Linked DNA regions of Oryzias latipes. The protein of the gene in region 1 binds, or shares a complex with, the protein of each later gene. Links are inferred from orthologs where the notes say so. Each region holds a gene or a part of one and is shown on either strand. Other genes may lie near its edges.

What was found. The genes of interacting proteins can lie anywhere in the genome.
Region 2: the proteins of serine/threonine-protein kinase 3 (region 1) and rassf5 are in contact, whole or in part, in a crystal structure (PDB 4LGD), measured with the Homo sapiens proteins. The link is inferred for Oryzias latipes from reciprocal best matches to the Homo sapiens genes STK3 and RASSF5. Residues at the interface, in NP_006272.2 of Homo sapiens: Phe437, Phe439, Leu440, Leu445, Leu448, Gln449, Arg451, Leu452, Leu455, Asp456, Met458, Met459, Glu462, Ile463, Leu466, Arg467, Tyr470, Lys473, Arg474, Pro476, Ile477, Leu478, Ala480, Met481, Lys484, Gln488; in NP_872604.1 of Homo sapiens: Trp369, Asp370, Ala371, Phe372, Ile374, Leu377, Gln378, Phe380, Leu381, Leu384, Glu385, Glu387, Glu388, Lys391, Ile392, Val395, Gln396, Lys398, Tyr399, Phe402, Arg403, Lys405, Leu406, Ala409, Leu410, Ser413.

The regions. Positions count from the first base shown.
Region 1 is NC_019869.2:24,049,851-24,054,360, forward strand, and holds the start of serine/threonine-protein kinase 3, read right to left. Parts: upstream 2,850-4,510; 5' UTR 2,690-2,849; coding exon 2,664-2,689; intron 1,442-2,663; coding exon 1,361-1,441; intron 1,237-1,360; coding exon 1,108-1,236; intron 933-1,107; coding exon 818-932; intron 581-817; coding exon 416-580; intron 1-415. UniProt on the Homo sapiens protein: Stress-activated, pro-apoptotic kinase which, following caspase-cleavage, enters the nucleus and induces chromatin condensation followed by internucleosomal DNA fragmentation.
Region 2 is NC_019863.2:28,012,569-28,015,847, forward strand, and holds the end of rassf5 (ras association domain-containing protein 5), read right to left. Parts: coding exon 3,095-3,279; intron 2,735-3,094; coding exon 2,619-2,734; intron 2,538-2,618; coding exon 2,394-2,537; 3' UTR 669-2,393; downstream 1-668. UniProt on the Homo sapiens protein: Potential tumor suppressor. Seems to be involved in lymphocyte adhesion by linking RAP1A activation upon T-cell receptor or chemokine stimulation to integrin activation.

The DNA of each region.
Region 1 (4,510 bases):
ATCCACTTGTAGACGACTACATCCACGAACGTCTTCGTATTCCTCGTCTGAGCTGGCATCTAGATCAAAACTGGTCCGGTTGGATTGTTCCAATATTGCTCGCTATTTTTGTTGCAGCGATAATGTTAGGTTAGGGGTGTGAGGAGGTGTAAGCAAAAGGGAGAGTACAAACAGCTCTCAGATATGGGTGATGGGGAATGGGGGCGTTGCTCCACGCTGCAACTCAGAGGTGAATTTCCTGTGTCCTAGGAAATGACACAGGTTTTTGGATTTTGGCTGGCTGAAAACAGTTTTATCGTTATTGGGAGCATGTTTAAAATAGATCTAAGTATGATTTGTGTGGATCAAAAAAAAAAATTCCAGACCAAGTTACACAAATCAAATAAACATAAGTGGATCATTTCTTCTTGTTTACCGTCAACTGTCCTGCTACTCCAAAATCTGCCAGTTTCGCGTGACCCTCAGTGTTGAGAAGGATGTTTCCAGCCTTGATGTCACGATGAATCTTCCTCATGAAGTGAAGGTATTCAAGACCCTTCAGGGTTGATTTAAGGATGGTGGCAATCTCATCTTCTGTCAGCTGGACCATGAAAGCAAAGCAAAAACAAAACAAAAAAGGGCAGGGCGAGATAAACCTTGGTGTTAATAAAAGATCAGGGTAGTCATAAATAAATACATTATTTCTTCAGCCCAAATAGACTAACTGTAGTCAAAATTGGATTATTTCTGCTTCTTTTAAGTGTTTCTTTTCAAGTAGGGAAGAAATCTAACAGATCAATCTTACAACACATTCTAACCATAAACTTAAAAGGCTCACCGTCTTGTTGCGGAGTCTGATTATGTCAGAAACGGATCCAGCTCCGCAGTACTCCATGACAATCCAAAGGTCTGTGTTTTTGAAGTAGCTGCCATAGTATTTCACTACATAAGGGCTGGAAAGAGGTTCAGAGCAAAGTTTGTATTTAAACCTCAAAAAAAGGGAAGTATTCCTGCAAACATCAGAGTGCAGAGGAGCTTGAGTTTGACTAATTCTTTGGATAGTTTTGATCATCTAATGTACTCCACATGACACGGATAAGCATTTGCAGAGACATCTGGAATTCTCACCTGTCACACTGCTGCATGATGGAGATCTCTTTGATGATTTCCTGTAGATCTGACTCCACTGGAACCTGCTTGATGGCCACAACCTGTCCTGACTCTTTATGAATGGCTTTAAAGACACTGCCATAGGAACTAAGCACACACCAAAGCTAGTCACACACCACACCAGGGTGCGCAAAACCAATGTATAACACAACAATCAACTGTAAAAAAGGAAAGTACAGGATGAAAAGAAAAAAGGAATCAAAGTTCTTACCCTTCACCAAGTTTTTCTAATACATCAAACACTTCCTCTGGCTGTTTTGTCAAGCTGTCCTCGCTCAGCTTTTTCAGCTTGCTGCAGTTTAAAGAAAGTCATCTTATTATTGACATCAATAGACAATATAAATAATAAATAGCCCAGATAGTTTTAGGTAATGCAGAGGGAACAATATGAGATTTATTTACTCAATTAATATAAATACGTTTTAATTAATTTTGCTTTGATTACCATATTTAACAGAGAGCAAGAAACAAATAAAATGTCTACCAAAAAAGACAGATTTGTTAATTGTTTATTGCTATCAGTATGGATTTCAACACAATAGTTAAGACTTGAAGTGTTTTCTTAGTTTTTCAATAACAGGCTTAAAAACAGCACAACTAGAAATCCTCCAATGAAACGGCTTTCAAAAATGACCAGGAAGTGACTTCATGTTACTTGATTAAGGCCCTGTGGGTTTTTGCTCGTCATGTGAAAAGGTTTTAAGAAGATGTAGTTTCACTCACTCAGGATTACTGTCAACCATAAAAAGTATTAAAACCTAACTTATTTTGTCAACACAATGATACTGTATTAGTAAAATTCACATTTAATTTCAAATATAAAATTCAATAAAATGAGGAAAACCAACAAAGCAACCAAATAAAAAAGCCAATTGTGTGTGCAAAGTCTGATTTATGTATTGTACTGTATATGATACAACAAAATACAACTGAATTAAACTTTATTGATACAAAAATTGGAAATTACCTTGTTACTATAGCTCTAATAAAAACAGCAGATAGAAAATATTTCTATAAATATTAGGTTATGAACATGTTAAAGTTTCAAATGTATTTAAAATTAAAATATAATGCCAAACAGAAAAGTACATTATATGCTTATGATGTAATTGCATAACAAAATAATACTTAACTGGTTTTGAAGAACGCAATAAATTAAATTACATTTTGTAAATAAAATTTGCTACTGTTTTCGTTATTTTAATTGCTGTACGCGCACGTTTTAAATACATTAAATTTGCCTGTAGGGACAAAAGGCAAGACGTTTTATAAAATGTACACTTTTTTGTTGTTCCTTAAAATTGTGATTAAAAATGTGTCACCGTTTCGAAATTTCAACGTCAATTTTGAAGTGAGGAAGTACAGAATAGTAGGGCCTATATCCATGTAAATAGAAAGTTTCAAACAAAACCACTGGAGTTTAACGACTAAATGAGTTAGCTTAGCATTAGCTAGTAGGGGCTCAGCTAGCATCCGATTATGCTAAAGTTTGAACAATTGGAATCTTTACAAACCTTTTAGGCGCGGTTGGCTCCATCATGAATCAACTCGAAAACGTAAATTTAAGGAGCGCTTTTAAAAAAGATTGCCGTTTTGTCACTATGGAACGAACGTGTGAACATTGTCGGCAGACAAGACGCGTTGTTGTCAGAAACTAGCAGAGGGCCAGCTGAGATGGGCGCTTCATCTTCTTCGTGGAATCTAGTGAGGGCAATGCACAAAAGATCTAACGCATTACCGCCACCTCGCGGCTTCAAGGGTTACCTACAAAGTCGGGAAAACGTGGCCTGTGTTTTTTATGAAAGAAATGACAGCAAAAAAACAACAACTTCAACAACAAACTCAAATTGCACTGTAATTTTTTGTTTAATTTTTAAAGATGTAATTTTAAAGTTATATAAATGTTTTCACGTTACACTGGCATTATTTTGGAAACAAAGAATTGATTTATGTCCGAGGAATAGTATGTACTAATTTTAGATTTTATTGGGATTCATTTAAAGGGTATGGGGCGCCGAATGTAAAAATTAACCTCAGGAAAATTATGTCTCAGTTTCACCACATTTAGACATTTCTTTCCCATAAAAGGGCCTATATTATATCAATTTATTCCGATACAGTGGGGCAAAAAAGTCAGCCACCACTTGTGCAAGTTTTCCCACTTAAAAAGATTAGAAAGACCTGTAACTTTCATCACAGGGATACCTCAACTATGAGAGACTAAATGAGAAAAAACAATTAAGGAAAGTTCAACTCAATGCTTTGTTACATACCCTCTTTTGGTAATGACAGCAGTCAAACGTTTTCTGTAAGTCTTCACAAGGGTTTCACAAACTGTTGTTGGTATTTTAGCCCATTCCCCTTTAAAGATTTTCTATGGGGGTTGCGATCTGACAGGCTAGGCCAAACCAGGACCTTGAACTGCTGTTAAGAAGCTACTCCTTTTTTATCCGGGCAGTGTGTTTGGGATCGTTGTCATGCTAAAAGACCCAGCCCCCTTTCATCTTTAGTGCTCTTGCTGATGGAAGAAGGATTCACTAACTAACTCACTGTGAGTCGTTCCTGGCTTGAAGCAATGAGAGGGAGCAATTTCTATCACCTCCACCTATGCCCGTTCTTCCATTGCCTTTCTGACTGCTCACGGTTTATGGCTACAACACGAGGGTCTGTTTAGGATGGCGACTGTGCTTATGAGGCCGTGTCAATTCACCAAGATTCCTCCCCCCAGCTGATCTATGTGGACCGCGACTGCTGCACCAGAGATGCCGTGTCCAGGGCAGCTGACGTATTTTTGGTTCAAACTCATCATGTTTTCATTACATGTTCCAAATGTTCCAACTTCTCAACCAATCAAATGGCCTGATTCGTTCCAATTTCAACTCTGAAACTTTGGGGGTCCAATCAGAGAGCTGGATTTGTTCCAATTTCTCGCCCCCGCCCCCCTTCTTTTACTGTCATGACTGCCGTCTTCCTGGTTGGACGTAAGTGCTGTTTTTCCTTTGATTTAACGAGAAATCGATGGTTTTAAGTGCTGAAACGATGTTGAATGTTTGTGTTTTTATTAAAAGATGCGCTTTTAAATTTTGAAACTTTCACTTTCTGCTCACAGTTGTGAGAGCCTTTAACTTCTTCGGTCTGATGTTGTATCTTTTCCTAAATCCCAGCATCCTGGGACCAGCATACTCTGTGTCTTCAAGTTCTCCAGCCGGCAGAAAAAGTGGGAAAGGGCTGTGATTGAGCAGGAAGCTGGACTCCTTCCTGCTGCTCCAGCTGTTTCCTTGCAGCCTATACCTGCAGCTGAAGGGCTGTCCTTGGTTCAGGCGGGACAGCCCTTCGACGACAAGATGCCAGAGGAGAAGAC
Region 2 (3,279 bases), on another chromosome or scaffold:
CTTAGCATTGCTTGTGTATATCAATGCATGAACCATGTTTCTGTAAAGCTGTCTGTAAGCCAACCATTTAGTACAGATGGACCTGAAGGTCAGACCAGTCACGCCACCTGCTGGTGGTTTAAAATCAACACAATGATGAGACAACTAGCTCAACCAAATCCCCAAAAGTCATGTCTAAACAGGACAATCTGTTCCTTTTGATGACACAGAGTGATGCAAAGTTGCCCCTCTTGTGTTTCATTCCCGATTACATTTGAAGGTTTAAAGTCCCAGTTATTTTAAAATCATTCCCATGGCATCGTGCTGTTATAGCGTTTTTAGCCAAAATAAAAAAAAAGTCACATTTTCTAGGTAATGGAGCCAGATTCCAGCTCGGATGAGGATAACAAAGACGTCCCTGGATCTAGTGGAAGCATCAGAATGGAGCAGAGCAGGGAGCTTGTGCCCCCCCCTCCCCCCAATCCCATCATATTTTGTACATCACAAATGAGCTCTTTTCCAAGCTGCTTTTTTTCATCTGCTCCTGATTCAAAACAATTAGAAGTAATACTCAGAAATACAGTTTGGAGCTTAATTTTCTTTATAAAATTCCTCCATCCATGTTAAAAACACCAAAAACTAGATTTTTATCATAGTGCAGACTTTATGGTAAAAAAAACAGCAAATAGTTATTTTCAATAAAGATTTATTCTTTAATTTCATTTCAATATTTTGTACATATCTACTTATATGTATATACATTTTTTTAAAAGAAACATAAAAAAGGCAACAAAAAGTCTTTCCATTATATAATGTCCTTGGATGGTTGTGAACCGTGAAATAAATAAACACATCCACACACTCGCACGCGTCCACAGAGGACTCTTTGGACAGATGAGAAGGAGCCTGGAGGAAAAACAAAATATGCAAACAGCACCACCCAAAAAAAAAAAAAAAGATTTGCACACATGCAAAAAGCACTCATACATGAGCCCAGGAGGCACACCTGTGTGCAGAAACACCTCTTCTACGCACACACAGGGGCGAAGGAAACAAAAGGCACTGCCAGTGGGAGAAAGCTGGGGGGCTTTGGGGGGAGGCAAGAGTCAAACATGTACGTATGGATGACGGGCCTCTTTTATCTCAACTCTAGAAGATACGAGACGCCTTAACATGACGATGAGCACGTCAAACAAACCTTCACCTGCCTGTGAAATGATAGGATAAAAGACAATTTGGGGCTAAATACACACATTCATTCTAAATCCTTTCACCGTCCTCATTACTATGGATGAGCATGTGCACACACACAGACACACACCCACACACACACACACACACACACACACACACACACTCACACTCCAGAGCCAGCAGGAATGATACCAAAAATATTATTCATAAAAGCAGAGCTAAACCACGTCACTCTTGTTTCCAGTGTATACATATGCATAACAAATATCATTGGTACATGATAGCCAATATCACACGTTTTATATATGGTTCTTTCTATGGGGAAGAAGGCAGGAGGATAAAATGACGCATCAAAGCATGCGCAGCCCCCCCAGGGGTGAGACCTGCGTCCATCTGTGCAAAACTGAAGCTGGTACACCACCTTACATGTCCCTTTGAAGCCCCTTCCTCTGAGCTTTGGTGTCCTTCCACATTCACACGTGACCCACAGTGACAGTGTTTGCTGAGTAAAGGTCCTGGGCTGCCTCTCGTGTCCGGCGCAGGTGGAGTTCATGTAAGGCTAATTTAGGGGAATAACGTCACAGTTGTCATCGCTTTAGAATCTGCAGGTGAGAGCAGGTGTAAATGGCATCTTCTCACATTTAGGCGGGCATAAAGGAATAAACGAGCATGCAATAAAAAGAAGGTGGTGCGAGGAGGAGGTGAGGGCCATCTTTCCTCCTCTCAGCTAAAGACATGCTCCCTGAGAAAAATCAGAGAATGAAAATAAACCTCTTTCCTTAAAAAGCAGGGAAAAAAAAGCGTGGCAGTCCCTCCACTCCTGCAAACCGTAGGAAAAAAAGAAAAAGAAAGCATGCCTTCAGATTTAACTATGTGCAGGGTAGATGAGTGGAGACTCATGCATAAGTAACACTTGCAGCAGCAGCAGCGGTAACGGTAGCGAAGAGGAGGGCTTCAAAAACAACAGCACAGCTTCACATCAGTATGAAGCTAAACTGCAGTCCAGGTCTTCCCGGTTTGTGTCCTTGGCAATAGAAACACTACGCGCCCACAGGCGCTCCTCAGGGAGCCGGCCTGTGGACGTTTAAGGGAGCGCGTGTCAATCCTGAGAAAGGAGAAGGATCAGTGTGGTCTGTCTGTCTGAGTGGAGCCTCAACAGGGAGAAGTTTGAAGGTCTGAGGAACCAGTCTCTCTCTGGGTTGAAAAGGTGGCAGGTGGGGTCAGGGGTCATGTTGTTGTAGGGCCTGCTGTAATTTCTCTCGGTAGAGAGTGTATTTCTGCTCCACGGCTCTTATGCGCTCCGACTCTTCTTTCCCAAGGATGATCAAGAAGTTTTGAAGCTCGGGGATGGAGAAGGCGTGCCACTGTGGGACGAAAACAGACGAAAGGCGTCCATGAAACGATCCCGAATGCGTGCTTCTCTGCCTCCCCGCCCGCTCACTCACCTCCACTTCTTCAGTCTCGTTTTCCTTAAAGACGAAGCTGAGCTGCTCCGTGTCTGGCCCTGCGATCAGCCTCAGAGGAAGAGGTCGCTCGGTCAGCGGAAGCTTCTGGAACAGATCTGCACAGAGGAGAGAGAAACGCTGGTGAAAAGCTGGACGGACCAGGTTTATATCACAGAAAACACTTTCAAGTTAACATATTTTCATTAAAAAAATGTCAAATCAAATACACACGAAGAGCGAAGAGTCTCCCTGAAGATGTTTTTATTCATGATCGGCAAATAATCTGGATTTCAAATAGACAGAAAATTATAGGAAAGATAAGAACATAACATGGAATCTGTCTAAAGTCTAAATTTGAGTGAAGGATTTTCTTTTTTGTTCTTATTCTTTACTGTCTAAAACATCTTTTTCTCATGTTTTAACAACCATTGCATGACCCTCGTGTGTTTAGCAGGGACAGAGGCTGGGGGGCTCACCCTGTCCATTGCGGTGCGTCTGCTTGTACAAAGCAAACTTGCGGGGGTTGTCCTTCACCTCGAACTTCTTCAGCAGGCCCTTGATGACCTCTTCGGTCGTGTTCAGAGAGCTGATGTGGAGATGTGTTATATAGTTCTGAGGCAAATAAAAAGAAGTTCTCTTTTCCGTGGGCCCACAGTCCGTT